Linked DNA regions of Saccharomyces cerevisiae S288C. Changing the gene in region 1 together with any one later gene gives a genetic interaction. Each region holds a gene or a part of one and is shown in the gene's direction. Other genes may lie near its edges. The genes, in order: GIC2, MSB1, DMA2 and BUD2.

What was found.
Region 2: of GIC2 (region 1) and MSB1, extra expression of one rescues a mutant of the other (dosage rescue), as found in Saccharomyces cerevisiae (one study listed by BioGRID).
Region 3: mutations in GIC2 (region 1) and DMA2 impair growth when combined (synthetic growth defect), as found in Saccharomyces cerevisiae (one study listed by BioGRID).
Region 4: mutations in GIC2 (region 1) and BUD2 are lethal when combined (synthetic lethality), as found in Saccharomyces cerevisiae (one study listed by BioGRID).

The regions. Positions count from the first base shown.
Region 1 is NC_001136.10:1,078,493-1,081,978, reverse strand, and holds GIC2 (Gic2p), read left to right. Parts: upstream 1-1,779; coding exon 1,780-2,931; downstream 2,932-3,486. Other genes in the region: SUM1 (Sum1p), read left to right, coding at 1-851. UniProt on the Saccharomyces cerevisiae protein: Required for cell size and shape control, bud site selection, bud emergence, actin cytoskeletal organization, mitotic spindle orientation/positioning, and mating projection formation in response to mating pheromone.
Region 2 is NC_001147.6:683,743-689,713, forward strand, and holds MSB1 (Msb1p), read left to right. Parts: upstream 1-2,024; coding exon 2,025-5,438; downstream 5,439-5,971. Other genes in the region: TUF1 (translation elongation factor Tu), read left to right, coding at 288-1,601; IES4 (Ies4p), read left to right, coding at 5,882-5,971. UniProt on the Saccharomyces cerevisiae protein: May play a role in polarity establishment and bud formation. The MSB1 gene may be functionally redundant.
Region 3 is NC_001146.8:406,350-410,422, forward strand, and holds DMA2 (ubiquitin-conjugating protein DMA2), read left to right. Parts: upstream 1-1,991; coding exon 1,992-3,560; downstream 3,561-4,073. Other genes in the region: malate synthase MLS1, read left to right, coding at 9-1,673; YNL115C (uncharacterized protein), read right to left, coding at 3,770-4,073. UniProt on the Saccharomyces cerevisiae protein: E3 ubiquitin-protein ligase which functions in cell cycle retarding in conjunction with the UBC4 and UBC13/MMS2 complex, 2 E2 ubiquitin conjugating enzymes. Involved in nutritional control of the cell cycle.
Region 4 is NC_001143.9:265,587-271,146, reverse strand, and holds BUD2 (GTPase-activating protein BUD2), read left to right. Parts: upstream 1-1,687; coding exon 1,688-5,002; downstream 5,003-5,560. Other genes in the region: YKL091C (phosphatidylinositol/phosphatidylcholine-binding protein), read left to right, coding at 497-1,429; MBR1 (Mbr1p), read right to left, coding at 5,339-5,560. UniProt on the Saccharomyces cerevisiae protein: Stimulates the GTPase activity of BUD1/RSR1. Participates in the regulation of bud-site selection.

The DNA.
Region 1 (3,486 bases):
CCAAAGGTACTTCATCTATCCATAACGATACTGAGTCTGCTAACGATAGTAGCAATGGCAACGGAAACCTCGGTTTGGGTACAGAGTCACGCAATACATTGTTAACGGCAACTCCCATTGAATTAATCTGCCGGGAAGGCTTCTTCTACCGGAGAGATATTCCGGACGTTCCCATTACCACAGGAGCGTACCTGGAATTTAAATTCAAGGCGAAAGAAGAGGAATTGATCAACTCTAGCATCAATGAGGAGGATTATGCTGCTAAATCAAAGCATGAAAAAATGAATGCGCATTTCTTCAAGCCTGATATTCAAGAAGAGACGGAACTTGCCTTTGAAATTTTGAGCAAGACAACGCTGACAGAGAAATACGTTAACAGTTTGGAGTACTTCTTGATGGAATTCAGGTGGGAGAATAAACTAGTTGGTCTAGGCTTAAAACTTCGGGAATCCAAAAGAACCTGGCAAAGGAGAAAGGCGTTATTTGCCCTTTTCGAATTTTGGAGAGACCAATCAAGAGACAAAAGAAGATTCCACAACTACACCATCCTGCATGCGGTGAAAGAGATGGAAAACTACAGAATATTTATTAATCGATCCGTTTCATGGTTCTACAACCATATTACCCTGCTAAAAATGATCCTCTACGACCTCTGCGACAATGTGACCACTCAATGGAGAGAGTGGATGTTTCCCCATAACGAAACACTGCCGGCATTGGGTCAGGACGGCATTAACGAAGACAATCTGAATGAAACCATCGACAACATGTTAATTTTTGACTTCCTTGATGACGGTTCAGAAAACAACCAGGTCAAATATTCCAGAATCATACCGCCAGATATCCGTTAAGCTGGTCCGTACGTTGGGGCAGTTTCGAGAATAGATAAAAAAATGAAAAATAAAAAAAAATAAAAAAAACACAAAATAATGGACCGTTACTATGCCCAACCAAGTAACCTCCCAACTTATTTGGAACATTACATATTTAGCGCTTAACATTACATACATATTTAGCGCTTAACATTACATACACCTTTATCGACGAATTTGTAACTATTTCTTACTCTTGCGCTGAGGAACGCCCCAGTCGTACAAAAGCACCTCTGCATACTAAGAAACTTAAACTATCGCCATTGTCTCAAAATAGCAAAAAACGCAAAAAGCATACCGCTGGGCGCTTATCTATATTAACCTACACGAGAAAAGAAACATGATTGACTGCGTCAGATTCAAAAACCTGCAAAGTTTGTTTTTATAATTTTGGCGTTCAGCAAGCGCGCGGCTCCGCTCCATTAATATTCCAGAAAAAGAAATTCCTTCTTTGGGTGTTGTGTATTGCTACTTTGGGCAGGCGCGACCGGGCCAAAAGAATGCGGCACCCGGCAAAGACGCGTTCTGGCCCCTGAAGACTTAAGCACTGGAATGGCTCCGAGGATTGGTCACCCAGAAACAGGTGCAGACCAACCATTTCGAGATCTAGATGTTGCCTATTTCTCGAGGAAACGCTGCCGTTATCGCCATGTTTGGTGGAACAATTGTGAAACGTGATCAATTCGTGTTTGCAAGCTAGTGATCATTCGCATCCGAAAAAGAAACTGAAAATGTAAAACTCCAGTAAAACGAGACCTGTTGATGGATTGTTTCGTGTCTGGTATATATTATTGCTACTGCTCAAGAGAGCTTCTTTTTTTATGCTATCGAACTCGATCTTTCGCTCCGAAACACCTAACACTAACAAAAGGAATACCTGACAGAATACGCTATCAAAAGAACGAATATGACTAGTGCAAGTATTACCAATACTGGAAACGAAACCATGAACCTTCCACAGATGCGGTCGATTTGGCTGGATGAAGATGAAGAAGCTGAAAAACTCTACGGTCTGCAGGCCCAGCAATTCATGGGATCTGATGATGAAGAAAACCTAGGCATTACTTTCATCAACAGCGATAAACCTGTGCTGAGTAACAAGAAAAACATTGAGTTGCCTCCACTTTCACCAAATTCACATCCGTCTTGCCACCACAGGAGAAGTAATTCTAACTCTGCAAAGTCTAAAGAATCATCGTCATCATCGTCCAGCGCCAACAAGACAAATCACAAAAAGGTTTTCCTTAAGCTTAATTTGTTGAAGAAAAAGTTGCTTGGTGCCCAACCGGACATAAGAGGTAAAGGTATCTCCACACCATTTGATTTTCAACATATTTCACATGCTGACACTAGAAATGGATTCCAAGATGAGCAATTGCAGGAACCTTCATCGCTGTCCACAGAGATTAAGGACGACTATACCTCCTCCTCAAGCAAGCGGGATTCGAAATCACTAAATAAAGCTTTTGTCACTGAAAGGATCCCTGCTAATCGTGAAAGCAAACTCATTTCAAGATCGCACGAAAATAAGACATCAAGACTATCAGTCGCGCGTTCGATCTCAGTAACGTCCTCCAATTACTCTAAAAACACACAAGGAAACAATCATTCCATTAATGGGAGAGTCGTATCTACGTCAACTATGGCTACATCTATTTTTGAGTATTCCCCAAACGCATCTCCAAAACAATTTAAAAATAAGTCACACGCTCTGGGTCATAGATACACTAATTCCACGGATTCTAGTGAGTCTTCGCTGGATTTTTTGAAGAACTACAACTTCCCCACACTACTTGAAGATAAGCCTATTTTAGACTTCTTGCCTCGTTCTCAGAGGTCAAGCGCTTATCGTAGCCTTTTAGAGACCCCAAACTCAAATAAGGACTCAGCAAAAGCCTTCTTTCCTTCACGCCAAAGCCCTCTTCCCAAGAGAAGAAACTCTATAGCTACGCCTTCTCCACAATCTAAATTTTCCTACTCTGACTCCCCTGTAAACCATAGAAAATCTTTCGATGATGTTCTTTATTCTTTCAACCAGCTCGAGCCCCTGCAAACTTAAGCTAAGGACAGAAAATGAAAAAAAAAAAAAAAAAAAATTCAAAGAATCAGCTTATAAAACATATTCAAGGACCATCTGAAGTATCATTCATTCGTTTTTTACTCGTTAATCTCATTCATTCGTTTCCTCATTCTTTTTTCTTTGTTCTTTATTTCGGCTATTTTTTCACTATTAAAATAACTAGAGCTAACAATATTATTTCTTCTGCTTTAGTTACAAAACAAGGACATTCATTTAACTTGGCGTTATCCCATACATTCGTTTATTATATCTTCTTTTAAAACACAATTTCTTTTACAGTTAAACTTTTCTGATTTATTATATATTACTTAAGATTGTTCATATAACTAACATTTATATGCTTATATGCGTGAAGTGCGCTTTTGTAGAACATGTGGCTGTTTCTGTAGAAGCCTTGTCTTTCTCTGTAATCCTTTAAAGGCCAACCGTACGTGCTTAATTACAAGCTTTGTTCGCATTGCAAGAAAGTTAGAAAAAAAATCAATTCTGAAAGATAATTATAATTCAAACGGTAAACCATTGGTTAAAAGAGGG
Region 2 (5,971 bases), on another chromosome or scaffold:
TTGAAATTGACAGGCTGCCCATTGATTGGTCAGTTTCCCACTAACCCGCGCTGGAGCTGATTTTTCATATTTTTAAGGATTTTGTTTTAGCACCCATCCGACCTCAGTCAATATATCCTTTCGCGACCAGGCTTTCCTCCCTTTTGCTGCTAACTGGTTACAGATTTTCCTATTTTTGGTCATTTTTATCTTTGAAACTGATTAAGCTGAAAAAATTTGAGCTTCTTTGTTGTAAACTATTTTGTGCTTTCAGTTTTATTCTAGCTCGACAAAGGTAACAGACAAAAATGTCAGCTTTATTACCAAGATTACTCACAAGAACAGCTTTTAAAGCTTCTGGGAAACTTCTGAGGCTCTCTTCAGTAATTTCTAGGACCTTTTCTCAAACTACTACTTCCTATGCAGCTGCTTTTGATCGTTCCAAACCGCATGTAAATATAGGTACGATCGGCCATGTTGATCATGGGAAGACAACTTTAACCGCAGCCATTACGAAAACGTTAGCCGCAAAAGGTGGTGCCAACTTCTTGGACTATGCTGCCATCGATAAGGCTCCGGAAGAAAGAGCTCGTGGTATTACAATTTCTACTGCACACGTGGAATACGAAACGGCCAAGAGACATTATTCTCACGTCGACTGTCCAGGCCACGCTGATTACATCAAGAATATGATTACCGGTGCTGCTCAAATGGATGGTGCTATCATTGTTGTAGCTGCTACCGATGGACAAATGCCCCAAACTAGAGAACATTTACTTTTGGCCAGACAAGTTGGTGTCCAACATATTGTCGTTTTTGTTAACAAGGTTGATACCATTGATGATCCAGAAATGTTAGAGTTAGTCGAAATGGAAATGAGAGAACTTTTAAACGAATATGGGTTTGACGGTGATAATGCTCCAATTATCATGGGTTCTGCCCTTTGCGCTTTGGAAGGTCGCCAACCTGAAATTGGGGAGCAGGCCATCATGAAACTTTTGGATGCAGTGGATGAGTATATTCCTACACCTGAAAGAGATTTGAACAAGCCTTTCTTGATGCCCGTTGAAGATATCTTCTCTATCTCCGGTAGAGGTACTGTGGTCACTGGTCGTGTGGAAAGGGGTAATTTAAAGAAAGGTGAGGAATTGGAAATTGTTGGTCACAACTCCACCCCATTGAAAACAACAGTTACTGGTATTGAAATGTTTAGAAAGGAATTGGACTCTGCTATGGCAGGTGACAATGCCGGTGTTTTACTTAGAGGTATCAGGAGAGATCAATTGAAGAGAGGTATGGTCTTAGCTAAGCCAGGTACCGTTAAAGCCCATACAAAGATTCTAGCCTCTTTGTACATTTTATCCAAAGAGGAAGGTGGTAGACATTCTGGGTTTGGTGAAAACTACAGACCACAAATGTTTATAAGAACAGCTGATGTTACAGTTGTGATGAGATTTCCTAAGGAGGTTGAAGATCATTCTATGCAAGTTATGCCAGGTGACAATGTTGAAATGGAATGTGATTTGATCCATCCTACCCCATTAGAAGTTGGTCAACGTTTCAATATCAGAGAGGGTGGAAGAACTGTTGGTACCGGTCTAATCACACGTATTATTGAATAGACTTATTGATGCAACTGGAGTATATTTCTATATATTCTGTTCATTTCCCCTCTCATAATATATACTTGTTTCGTTAAAATTTTATACGTGTAAATAAAGTGCCATAAATTTTTCAGCTTTACTTTTGGTAGAGTCCTGCTAGCACTAGATTTTACAATTTCATGTGCACACACCAAGGACGTGTTCTTATGTATATGTAAAAGATATCAAGGCGTTTTTGAATGCGTTTTTGTTGATTTGTTTACTTTCCGGCGTATTCCTACGAAAAAAGCAAAGAAAAATACAAAAAAACGAAACATTCGCAAATGATGACAACTTGAAACCGCCAAAAGTCATCGCTTGGGAATTTTGAGGCAAGAGGCTGCTTCTATAAAAGTTTTCTTTACATGGCAAAAGGGTATTCGTATTAGGATAGTATTGGTTATGAACGATATGGCAAAACCTCTCCCAACTCCACCGACTGCTGAGATCAGGAAAAGTCGATCCAATTCACCAAAAAAAGCTCAGAAAACAAATCTAAGTCCAAACAAAAATCAGAATAATGAGAAAAATGTACCTAGATCAAACGGAAGAACCAAAAACGAACACAATAGTATGGATGACGAAGAGTTTGAATTCTTCCATCAATTTAGTCGGGAGAAAGTTAAAGGCGTCATACACGTAATCACCGCTGAACTTAAGGAAAAAGGTCCAGATGTTGAATTTTTAATGATACCGTTCAGGCCGGAACAGACGAACGACAAATTGCTGACATTACTAAATCAGCTATTCCCACTAGGAAACGGTCAACCAGTCAACGAAAAAAAACAGCTCAGAATTGTTTCCAAGGCCGATGTCTGGACTTTATTTCAATGCTTAAAATACATTTGGTGCAGACTTCCAAATTCAGAAATCATAGGCTGGAAATCTTATTTGGAGTTTAAATTCAGGGAAGAAGATAAAAAATTTCCTCGAAAATCATTTTTGGAAATTATGCCTCAATGTCTAGCTTCCCCAAATCATGCATCAATCGTTTACGATTTTTTTGACTTGATTATTTCAATTTCATCAAATTCAAGAGTTAATAAAATGAGTGCTAGAAAAATATCGAAGATGTGTGCAATCTGGGCGTTTAGTAAACAGATACCAAATTCTGATATCCAAGATTACGATTTTGAATCAGCCGCCATGAAGTCTTTTGCCCCCAACAATTCCATACAAGATGGGCTAGATCAGTGGATTCCGGCTTCAGATGCCATGTTTCACCTACTCTTAGCATTTCTAAGAAGTTTTGTCCCTCAAGATCTTGAATCGGCAAAGCTGCCGCGCACACTTAAGAGTTTACTATTCAATAATCAGTATCCTCCAAGAAAATCAACAGCGTACACATCAGAGACAATCCTAACCATTCCTCTGGTAACTTTAAAAACAGACGTCTTTTCGAGAAAACCTTGGCAATTATTGGAGCGTTGCAATGATCTTCTTGATTTCAGTGATCATGATGCATTCGAAGCAAGAGAGGACTACGCTTTATTAAAGTCTTTATTCAGAAAGAAAAATACAGTGGAGGGAATTAGCAGGAAAATGTCCCAGGAGTCAAGAAGGTTGATGAAAGCAATGTCTACCAAACATTCAACATTTCAACCAGGTTGGGCTCCCAGAGAATGTATTGAAAATATTTCTCATTTAAAAGAATGTATTGAGGTTAAAAGACTAGATATCGATGATTATTTTATTTGGACTTGGTTATCGTCCCTTTCTTTCGAACAAACATCCGAAAAGAAAAAAATTTTTGGAAGATCTATTATATTGGAATTTGAATTTGATGGATTTAAAAAATGGGTGGTTTTCCAAGAATGTGATATAACGTTAGATTATAATAAAAAGGGTCAATTGAAGAAAAAGACTTCTGCACAGTCACCAACGACCGAAAAGGAACTACCTCCTGATGACTTTGAATTAGAAGATCCACCTCTCTCCAAATCTCCTACACTATCTCAGACCTACAAAAAATTCCAAGCTGAGGTACCTCAGCAAAGTACTGTTCGAAGGGATTCAGCACCCGATAACCAAGGAATCTATCACACAGTCATTAGTAAAAATGCATTGACTAAAAATAAGCATAATGTGAATTTGCATTCTTTTGAACATAAAATCTCCAAATGGAATCCTCTAAACAACCTGCGAAAGAAAAGCGGTAGTAACTCTAGTAGTTCATCATTTGAGGAAAAAAGTAAAGACGCTCCCATCCGCGAAGAATACCATACCAACAAAAATCACAAATCGAAAAAAGAAGAGCGAGTACTATCTCAGTTTAGCACACTTAATCCTGATGAATATCAGTTACCAGTAATAGAGACCGGTTCATCAAACTTTAAGATTGAAATACCGGAATTAATGTACGAACACGATGATGACGACAGTGACAAACTTAAAAATTCCCAGAAAAGAGCTACCGACTCAGCTATTGAAGAATTAAACGGTATGGTTGAAGAAATGATGATTAATGAGCCAGACGATGTAAAAATCTCCATAACTGAGGCAGAGACTTTCGAATCATTGACAAAGTTTGATCAATATAAGCCATCCAATATAACTGACGATGACTTACAAAGCAGCCATTCAAGCGCCGTTCACTCATTGAAGCTAAGTACAAATACAAATGATTCTTGCGCTGATAGTTCCAAATACACCGCTGATAGGAAATTAGCGGAACCTAGAAAGATTTCTGAGGAATCCAAAGTCAACGACGATTCATCATCATATTATTCTCCAAATATCAACAACTTGCCGGCATCAAGAATGCCTAGTCAACCCACTTATTCAAATTCGGATTCGAAAAAGGCATTTACGAATGAGTCTCGCCTGAACGTCTTACAAGGTGCAGTCAGTCCATCTCAACAGGTAACACCAAAACCATATAAAAATGCGCCTGGAGACTGTGTATCTCCTGTTCAGCAAAAATACTATCAGAACGATCGTAGAAATGAAATGTCGCCTGCAAGTGCACCAGTTCCACCTTCTGCATATTCACCTGCGAGGTCTCCACAATTCTCCACCAATTCGGCTGGATTCAAGCAGAACACGATTAATGTACCCGTTGGGTATAATGATCCTGCTCACGTTTTAGCAAATCAACCACATATGACATATCGGGACCAGCATAATTATCCATCTCACCAACAAAAACAACGTCCCTTCCAAAACAATATTGTGCCCCCAGAACTAAAGTCCAGAAATCAACGGGCAGATGCTTCACCTATTCCCCAACATATGGTGCCAGTAAAACAAGGTGTGCCCAATCTTCCATCTAACGTTCCATTATATCAACAAATGGAACGAATGAACCCTAACCACCAGCACCCTGTAAATACTTACAAGGTAACTCAGCCGCCGTATCATAATAACACAACAAATGCTTATGGGAACAGCCGGGCAGGCAATGCTCATATGTTAGATGGAAAGTGGAGCAATAATCCGCCGCAAATGGTACCAAAGGGAGTTCGCCCCAATCAATATCCACAGCAGCACGTTAATAGGTATTCACCGCAAGCTCAACCTGTCGTACCTGCGGAATACTACAATGGACCTCCACCTATGCGAGCACCTCCAATGATGTCCCATATGGTACCAGCTCAGGAGCCGATACGTTACACAGCTGGTGCTAACAGGCGTAGTTTTCCCCAAGGCATGCAGCAGAATGCCTATTCCGTACCCGCTCAGCCTATGGGGGCTGTAAATAGTGAATTTTACCTACCAGAAGCTCCTCAGGGAAACAAACTGCATGGAAATATTAACAAAAGACAGGAGAGAAAGAAGCTATATGATAACATTAGAAGCGGAAATTTCGGCATATAGAAACACTTTGTATCTGAAATTATCATCTTTATGAAATCTCAACAGTTGTAAAATTTCCCGAATATTTATACATATATATGTGTATGTAATTACAAGTATTTAGGACAATAAGGAGAGATTTAAGTCTACTACATAATTTTTAACTCCTACAAATGGCAGGTTACGTTGAGTAAGAATATAACATTTTATTTTCCATATTCAACATCATATGCATTTTATCATCTCATCCTCTTAGTCACTAATTTTTCTAACGCTCATAACAAAAGGTGCGTTACGCCGTCTAGAGCTTTTCTTGAACGTTAAAACTTTACCAAGCAGTTGACGGGTAATCATTCTCATAATCCAAGTAATTTTAAAGATATCAACAAAATGTACTATAATGCCAACACATTCTTTACTTATATTGGCCGGAAGATAAATCCAATTTCTCGAGTAATTGTGGTATGTCCCAAGAAAGTAGTGTTTTATCAGAATCGCAAGAACAACTAGCCAATAACCCTAAAATAGAGGATACAAGCCCTCCCTCTGCCAAT
Region 3 (4,073 bases), on another chromosome or scaffold:
TTAAGAAAATGGTTAAGGTCAGTTTGGATAACGTCAAATTACTGGTGGATGTTGATAAGGAGCCTTTCTTTAAACCATCTAGTACTACAGTGGGAGATATTCTTACCAAGGATGCTCTAGAGTTCATTGTTCTTTTACACAGAACTTTCAACAACAAGAGAAAACAATTATTGGAAAACAGACAAGTTGTTCAGAAGAAATTAGACTCGGGCTCCTATCATCTGGATTTCCTGCCTGAAACTGCAAATATTAGAAATGATCCCACTTGGCAAGGTCCAATTTTGGCACCGGGGTTAATTAATAGGTCAACGGAAATCACAGGGCCTCCATTGAGAAATATGCTGATCAACGCTTTGAATGCTCCTGTGAACACCTATATGACTGATTTTGAAGATTCAGCTTCACCTACTTGGAACAACATGGTTTACGGTCAAGTTAATCTCTACGACGCGATCAGAAATCAAATCGATTTTGACACACCAAGAAAATCGTACAAATTGAATGGAAATGTGGCCAACTTGCCCACTATTATCGTGAGACCCCGTGGTTGGCACATGGTGGAAAAGCACCTTTATGTAGATGATGAACCAATCAGCGCTTCCATCTTTGATTTTGGTTTATATTTCTACCATAATGCCAAAGAATTAATCAAATTGGGCAAAGGTCCTTACTTCTATTTGCCAAAGATGGAGCACCACTTGGAAGCTAAACTATGGAACGACGTCTTCTGTGTAGCTCAAGATTACATTGGGATCCCAAGGGGTACAATCAGAGCTACTGTGTTGATTGAAACTTTGCCTGCTGCTTTCCAAATGGAAGAGATCATCTATCAATTAAGACAACATTCTAGTGGGTTGAATTGCGGACGTTGGGACTATATTTTCTCTACAATCAAGAGATTAAGAAATGATCCTAATCACATTTTGCCCAATAGAAATCAAGTGACTATGACTTCCCCATTCATGGATGCATACGTGAAAAGATTAATCAATACCTGTCATCGGAGGGGTGTTCATGCCATGGGTGGTATGGCTGCGCAAATCCCTATCAAAGACGACCCGGCAGCCAATGAAAAGGCCATGACTAAAGTCCGTAATGATAAGATTAGAGAGCTGACAAATGGACATGATGGGTCATGGGTTGCACACCCAGCACTGGCCCCTATTTGTAATGAAGTTTTCATTAATATGGGAACACCAAACCAAATCTATTTCATTCCTGAAAACGTTGTAACGGCTGCTAATCTGCTGGAAACCAAAATTCCAAATGGTGAGATTACTACCGAGGGAATTGTACAAAACTTGGATATCGGGTTGCAGTACATGGAAGCTTGGCTCAGAGGCTCTGGATGTGTGCCCATCAACAACTTGATGGAAGACGCCGCCACTGCTGAAGTGTCTCGTTGTCAATTGTATCAATGGGTGAAACACGGTGTTACTCTAAAGGACACGGGAGAAAAGGTCACCCCAGAATTAACCGAAAAGATTCTAAAAGAACAAGTGGAAAGACTGTCTAAGGCAAGTCCATTGGGTGACAAGAACAAATTCGCGCTGGCCGCTAAGTATTTCTTGCCAGAAATCAGAGGCGAGAAATTCAGTGAATTTTTGACTACATTGTTGTACGACGAAATTGTGTCCACTAAGGCGACGCCCACTGATTTGAGCAAATTGTGATCTCCCTTGCCCCAGTGTACACATATATAAAAATATATTCATGCCTATATGATTATGTATCGGAATCCAAAAACTTATCTTTATATTGCTTCGTTTCGTAGTTAGCAATGAATCATCTTATCATGATTCCTTTTTTTGTTTTGGCCAGATTAATGTATCACGGTCGACGGCGAAGGCATCAACCATTGTTGTGGAATTTCAAACACAATACTTGATGACTCCAAACGTGGGCATATATTTTGATTTGAAAAGAAGTCGAGAAAGTATAGCAACGCATTGTATACGTTTGAAGCTTTCAGCAAAGGATATACCGTGGAAATGTACACGCCTATCCCTGCTAATACCCCTGCTCCCACTGCACCAACTTCATCGATGACGTCCAACTCTTCATCCGCATCAAATGCCAACACCACTAGCAGTAGTGGCATAAACCCAAGGAACAGAGCCAGTGGTACTCCATCCAATGAGCGGGCTCGTCCGGCGTCGGGTATCAGTTCGTTTTTGAATACCTTCGGAATTAGGCAAAATAGCCAGACAGCTTCTTCTTCTGCGGCTCCTGATCAGCGTCTATTCGGCACAACCCCATCTAACTCACATATGAGTGTGGCCATGGAAAGTATCGATACCGCTCCGCAACAGCAGGAACCACGTCTGCATCATCCTATACAAATGCCTCTGTCGGCCCAGTTCCACGTTCATCGCAACTATCAACTCCCCATCTCCATATCTCTCACTGCCCCTACAACCACAGACCACCAGCAATCATCTGCGCATAATTTCGAAGGCAACAATGTTGGTAACGTTCAAGAGTCTTTGAATCAGCGGCAGCCTAACGGTACTAACAATACCACAACCTCGATAATTTCCATGGCGCCAGCGGCTACAACGAGAAATATAGTCGGTGGTGCAGATGGATCTACTATTGTTAACAACAGTCAGGAAATGTATAAGAATTTACGTCACTTGATATATGCTGCAAACCAGCCAAATGGGACCGAAATTTTACATTTGGATTTACCTGCAACAAGTGCAGAGGAGTCAAACAATATGTTCAATGTAGATGAGGTCACTTTGAAGCAAAGGAAAGATAAGCATGGTCTTTTTAGTATAAGACTAACCCCATTTATTGATAGTTCGTCCACGACAAATCAAGGTTTATTCTTTGAACCGATTATAAGAAAGGCTGGCCCTGGATCCCAATTGGTTATTGGCCGCTATACTGAGCGTGTTCGCGATGCAATTTCTAAAATACCTGAACAATATCATCCAGTTGTATTTAAATCCAAAGTTGTTTCAAGGACACATGGTTGTTTTAAAGTTGACTCTCAAGGTAACTGGTATATAAAGGATGTGAAATCATCTAGTGGAACTTTCTTAAATCACCAAAGGCTCTCACCCGCTTCCTCTTTATCGAAAGATACCCCTCTTCGTGATGGTGATATTTTACAGTTAGGAATGGATTTTAGAGGTGGCACGGAAGAAATCTATCGTTGTGTAAGGATGAGGATTGAGCTAAATAGATCATGGAAACTAAAGGCAAATTCGTTCAACAAAGAAGCTTTACAGCGTTTGCAGAATTTACAAAAATTAACTACAGGTATTGAAGAAGAAGATTGTTCGATTTGCCTATGTAAGATCAAACCGTGTCAAGCAATTTTCATATCACCATGCGCACATAGCTGGCATTTCCGTTGTGTAAGAAGATTGGTCATGCTCTCATATCCGCAATTTGTTTGCCCCAACTGTAGATCAAGTTGTGATTTGGAGGCCTCCTTTGAAAGTAGTGACGAGGAAGATGAAAGTGATGTGGAAAGTGAAGGTGATCAACTGGTGGATCAACTTAGCGTCTTAATGGAAACTTCAAAGGATGTTGATAGCCATCCTTAAGGTCAAAGAAAATACACAGTTTGAAAAATAAAGAAAAACCACCGAACTCCACATCTCGTACCTTAATATTATTTTAATTATTCTCTTAGTATTTATATATTTGCGCCGTTTACATATTTGACTTATTGTTTTCAGGAATACAATACCTCCATCGTTGGCAGTCAATTTTGCTTTCACATATAAAACTAAAAAAAAAGTAAAGAACTCGGTTAATCCTCGGTTAGTTTGCCAAGCTCACCTATTAATCTTAATAGGACTTCTTGAGTTTGTTGTTTGCCCAGACCATACTTATATATTTCATGCCCACCTTCAACTATTTTCCATTCTTGAGTCTTGTGAGAAATTTTGGTCAAATCTCTTTGCCAATCGCCCCATAATGCCGACTTCTTCACCATTTCCTTAGAGCTAACGATGCTTGTCTTCACATTTTGCAAAGATTCTGCATTGTTTGTCACATCTCTGTAACTTAGAATTGAACTCGTCACGCTTTCCAAAAACTTGGAACGCAAGAAA
Region 4 (5,560 bases), on another chromosome or scaffold:
ATTATACGTAAAACATTGTCCGTTCTCTTCAGTTATAATTACTGCTGATTCAGGGGCGGCAGCTGATATATCTCGAGTCACCTTCAAAAATCAAACCTGCTATTGGGACCCGTACTTCCATTTGGATTTACCAACTTGATTCTTCTATCAGAGACGAAGGCCCTTATAAACCTTGAACCTGAGCTTAAAATTTACATATTACTTTCTTGTAATCATTAAGTATGAATTTGCAAGGCGTTTACATGAAAAGAGGTCGGCATAGTACATATGGAAATTTACTGGTATGCAATCCATTATGTGTTATCATATCTTTTTTACATAACAGGCACTTCTGAAATTCCCCCTCTTGTATGCCCCTATTTACTCCTTTTTAAATTCTTCGGATTATTATTTAGATCGTGATTCTCTCTACTCAAACATTTCCTTGAACTTGTATAACGGGGAAATAAATCTGAAAAGCAATACATTTGCGCACTGTTAAAACTGGAAAGGAAGAATGACAACCAGCATACTCGATACTTATCCTCAAATATGCTCCCCCAATGCTTTGCCAGGTACTCCCGGCAATTTGACTAAGGAGCAAGAGGAAGCGCTTTTGCAATTTAGGTCAATCTTGTTAGAAAAGAATTACAAAGAAAGGCTGGATGATTCTACGCTATTGCGATTTCTACGGGCAAGGAAATTTGATATCAATGCTAGCGTTGAGATGTTTGTAGAAACTGAACGATGGAGGGAAGAATACGGTGCCAACACTATTATCGAGGATTATGAAAACAACAAGGAAGCCGAAGACAAAGAAAGAATCAAATTGGCCAAAATGTACCCTCAGTATTACCATCACGTTGATAAGGATGGGAGACCATTGTACTTCGAAGAACTAGGAGGAATTAACTTAAAGAAAATGTACAAGATCACTACCGAAAAACAGATGCTAAGAAACTTAGTCAAGGAGTACGAATTATTTGCCACGTACCGGGTCCCAGCGTGTTCGAGAAGAGCTGGCTACCTTATTGAAACTTCGTGCACTGTGCTGGACTTGAAGGGTATCTCACTTTCTAATGCTTATCATGTGCTTTCCTATATTAAAGATGTTGCAGATATCAGTCAAAATTATTATCCTGAAAGAATGGGTAAGTTTTATATTATACACAGTCCATTTGGTTTCTCGACGATGTTCAAGATGGTTAAACCCTTCTTGGATCCAGTAACCGTGTCAAAAATCTTTATTCTTGGCTCTTCTTATAAAAAGGAATTATTAAAACAAATTCCAATCGAGAACTTGCCTGTTAAATATGGTGGTACATCTGTCTTGCACAACCCTAATGATAAGTTCTACTATTCCGATATTGGTCCCTGGAGAGACCCTAGATACATCGGACCAGAAGGTGAAATTCCCAACATTTTTGGTAAATTTACTGTTACCAGCTAACTATGATACAGGCCTTCGTCGTAGCTTTCCGTGAATATAGCATGCATACTCTATAATATGTATATCTCTGTATCTAATAATAATTAATGACTTTCATTCTTGAACGCGTTCTGTTCGATAAAAAAGAAAGGTATCCAAACAAACGCCATTTATGAAAACGGAGGAAGAAACAACAAAATAGTAGGAATAACTACTCGGTCAGACTGAAAACTTTATCCGTGCATACGTCGTGGTGTTTATCTTTGATTGTATCATATTATGAGCTCCAACAATGAACCGGCCCAAAGTCGAACATCATATTTCAAATTGAATGAATTTTTGTCCAACGTTAAGCATTACAAGAATACCTTTAAGGGTGAGATTCAGTGGTGTAATAACCTGTCCTTAAACGACTGGAAGACACACTATCTGCAAATTACCAGTACAGGTGCACTAACCCACTCAATCGATGAGTTAACAGCAGACTCTACTAATATTCAGCCAATTATCAAACATCTACAGCAATGTAGAATCGAGATTATTAAGGATAAGCATTCCTCTTTTAAGGATATTAATGCAAATTGTAATTTTATAATCCAAGTAAACACCTCAGGTAAAGATAATAAAGTTTACCTGCGAGTTAAAAGTTGGAGTGATTTCAAGAAATTGCTAACATGTCTGATCTGGTGGAGCTCAATGAAGACAAATGGTATATTTAATAAGTTTCAAGTATCGCGACCTCTAGAATTTAAAAGCAAAAAAATGGCGAAACCAGAAAGTTTGCTGGTTTACAAATTGAATGTTTTTGGGCCCATCGTTAAGAACATCGTCCTTCCGCCAGCAACAAATATTTTAGAAAGCCCTGATATAATTAATAATGATGACAACAGCGTAGGTTGGTTTTCCGCTATGGGGGTGCTTAAATCAAACGGCATGCTAGATCTTCTTTTACAGAGTGACGGCTCTCTGATTTACTCATTGAATATTAGCCAGCTTTTAAGATCAGAGATAAGAATTCTGGATTCATCTGTTTTACAAAGTGAAAACAGTTTGTTTTTAGGTGAATTGCCATTACTAAGGAGCCAGTTGGGCCTCGAAAAGTTTCGCATAGAAAATATTGCCAGTGCTGCCACCAACTCTAGTGATATTTCTCAAGAAATTATTGTAGAGTTTCCCTTAAGAATAGACCTGGAGGATTGTTTTATAGCGTTACAATCGTTCGCTAGGTCGGAATACTTATCTATTACTGGCTCAGATAAATCAAATGATATGAAGATATCGAATAGCTTTAAAATTTCCATACTGGAAGCTAATTTTCAGTCAATCAATTTAAATGACAAGAATAATACGCCATGGTCAATATTCACAGACATAACGGCCTGGGGCCATACATGGGCTAGAACATCCATGGTTTCAAACTCCTCTAATCCATTTTGGAGAGAAGAGTTTCAGTTCAATGAACTTTTAAGACTTACTAATTCTTATCTGGAAATCAAGCAGTTATTCCACGATCTCAATAATAAAAAACGGTTACGATTGATAGGCAAAATAAAAATCACACAAGAAATAATAAATGATACAAGATATAATAAGGAAACAAGACTACCCATCATGGACGTTGATAACAAAAATTTTCAAATAGGAACAATCTGTATTAAAATTTCTTCAAATTTGAACTTCATTTTACCGTCAACCAATTTCGTTAAATTGGAAAAACTTTTGATGAACGCAAACTTGTCCATGGTTTCCAATCTAATTTACAAATCTTCTTCATCAATGGAGAATGATAACAAATTGACGCAAACATCCATAATTTTTCTCGATATATTCCAATCTTTGTCAAGAATAGAAGAATGGTTCCACGTCCTTATAGACAAAGAATTGGCTAAAATTGATGGAACGGTTTCAAGAATAAACCAGAAAAATTTAGACTCAAAGCATGTTTTCAACAGTTTATTCCGTGGTAACTCTATCTTAACAAAGTCGATTGAACAGTACTTTTTCAGAGTGGGTAATGAATATTTGAGTAAAGCGCTTAGTGCAATACTAAAAGAGATCATTGAGTCAAACAAATCATGTGAATTGGATCCTGCTAGAGTAAAAGAAAAAGATGAAGTAAAAAAGAGGAAAATAATTGCCGACAACTACAAACGATTGTATTCTTGGGTTACGAAGATTTGGAAAAGGCTGTATGCAACGAGTAATGACCTGCCGATTGAAATAAGAAATGTTTTAAAAATCTTTAGGCAAAAACTAGAGATAATTTGTATCGATGACACTTTGCAAATAATTTTGAATGGTATATCAGGATTATTGTTTTTAAGGTTTTTTTGTCCAGTCATATTAAACCCTAAGCTATTCAAATATGTTTCTCAAAATTTAAACGAAACAGCAAGAAGGAATCTTACCCTAATAAGTAAAGTTTTACTTAATCTGTCCACTTTGACGCAGTTTGCAAACAAAGAGCCCTGGCTAATGAAGATGAATAACTTTATCGATAAAAGACACAATGACTTATTAGATTACATTGATAAAATGACGCAAAAGAAACTAGATTTTAATTCAAAGATATTGAACCTAAGTTCTACTATTTCGAGACCCAAATTGGCCATTGAACAAACGATGTTGGATGATTTGCCTCAGATTCCTTATCTGCTTGATAAGAATTTGAGAGAAACTGAGTTTGTTAACTTGATTGTTAATTTCAGTCAGGAAGATATGACCAAGATGGAAAAATACAATCACATGGATAATGGTGGGAAGGGAGAATTAATCGAAGAGGAGGGCCTGTTAAGCGGTAGCAGCCTAAATTTGTCTGTGGATAAAAAAGATTTGGATTCACCAATTGAGGTTAAGCCAGAAATTGGAGAGTTAGAATTTGAGAAAATAACTGAAAACAACACGGAGATCTTCGGAGATGATTTAATGAACCTACTGAAAAGCGATGATGTAGGTTCCAGAAGCAGAGATTTGGATAATGGCGCTAATTCAGGCATCAAATTTAATTCTATAATCCCGAAAGCAGAAGAGGAAAAGCATGCAATGAAAGAATTGGAGCAAGAGTCATGTTTACTCTATAATAGGATTAATCATATTAGAAAACGGTTGTCAGGTTATGAATGTGCTTCCAGCACTTTGTTTGAAGACAAAAAATACTCCATTTCACTCTCACATAAAATTTTTTATGAAGAAATAAAGGAGGGAAAAGAAATTGTTCTTAAACTACTAAATAAACCAACAAATGAAAACTCTTCCGCAAGATTGCAGAAATTCTTCACAAAAGGTGTCTCTAGTAAATCCAATAACACAGTTGGAGATAGTTACTGTAAATTTTTGACTATTGATGTAAGTGATGAGAATCCCAAGAGTAGCAACAAAACATCGGTACATGGAACATCATCGGAAAATGGAGCCAAGGATGATTACTTGACGCTTCCAAACTCGCAAGGTAAAGGTAACTTGGGGAATAGATTTTCCCCGACAAAGTTATCTAGGATAATGAGGAAACCTCCTAACGCAGATGTTCCTAAAGAACAAAATTCCCGTAAGCTGACAAGATGGTTCAAAAAGAAAAAAGAAACAGGGGGATCTTAATCGTAGAAAAAAATGTTCACTTCATATTCTTTCCTTTGAAAGTTTTTTTTTTTTTACTTCTTTATTCACTACTTGTAACAGTATATAGCGGGTTGTACTATCAGCAGAAAAAAGTAATTCATAATTTTTCAGAAAGATTTCTCATAATATAGTATATAAAAAAATGCTTCGAGAGGAGATGATAGACAGCGATAAGTATATGGAAATTTGGAAACCAAACAGGAGATACAAATGGGTATATATTATATTTAATAAAAACGAACAGATGGCGATCCAGAATGTGGAAATAAATAACAAAGTTGAACATCATACGGTTATTCCAAGGTGGCGAGAATGTTAGCCTGCAAAGGAACTTGCTAGTGACATCTCAATGAAAGATTTTTTCCTCCCAGCACCAAAGTTTGGTTTCGAAGACTGTTGCTGTTGTACTGGCTGCCTTGGTTGGTGGAATTGATTTGTATTTGTACCTAAAGGGAAATTTAGTGATGAGGAAGTGTTCGAATGTGATAATGATGAGGAGGTGTCCCCTGTATCGTTCGGACAACACGATGATATTTC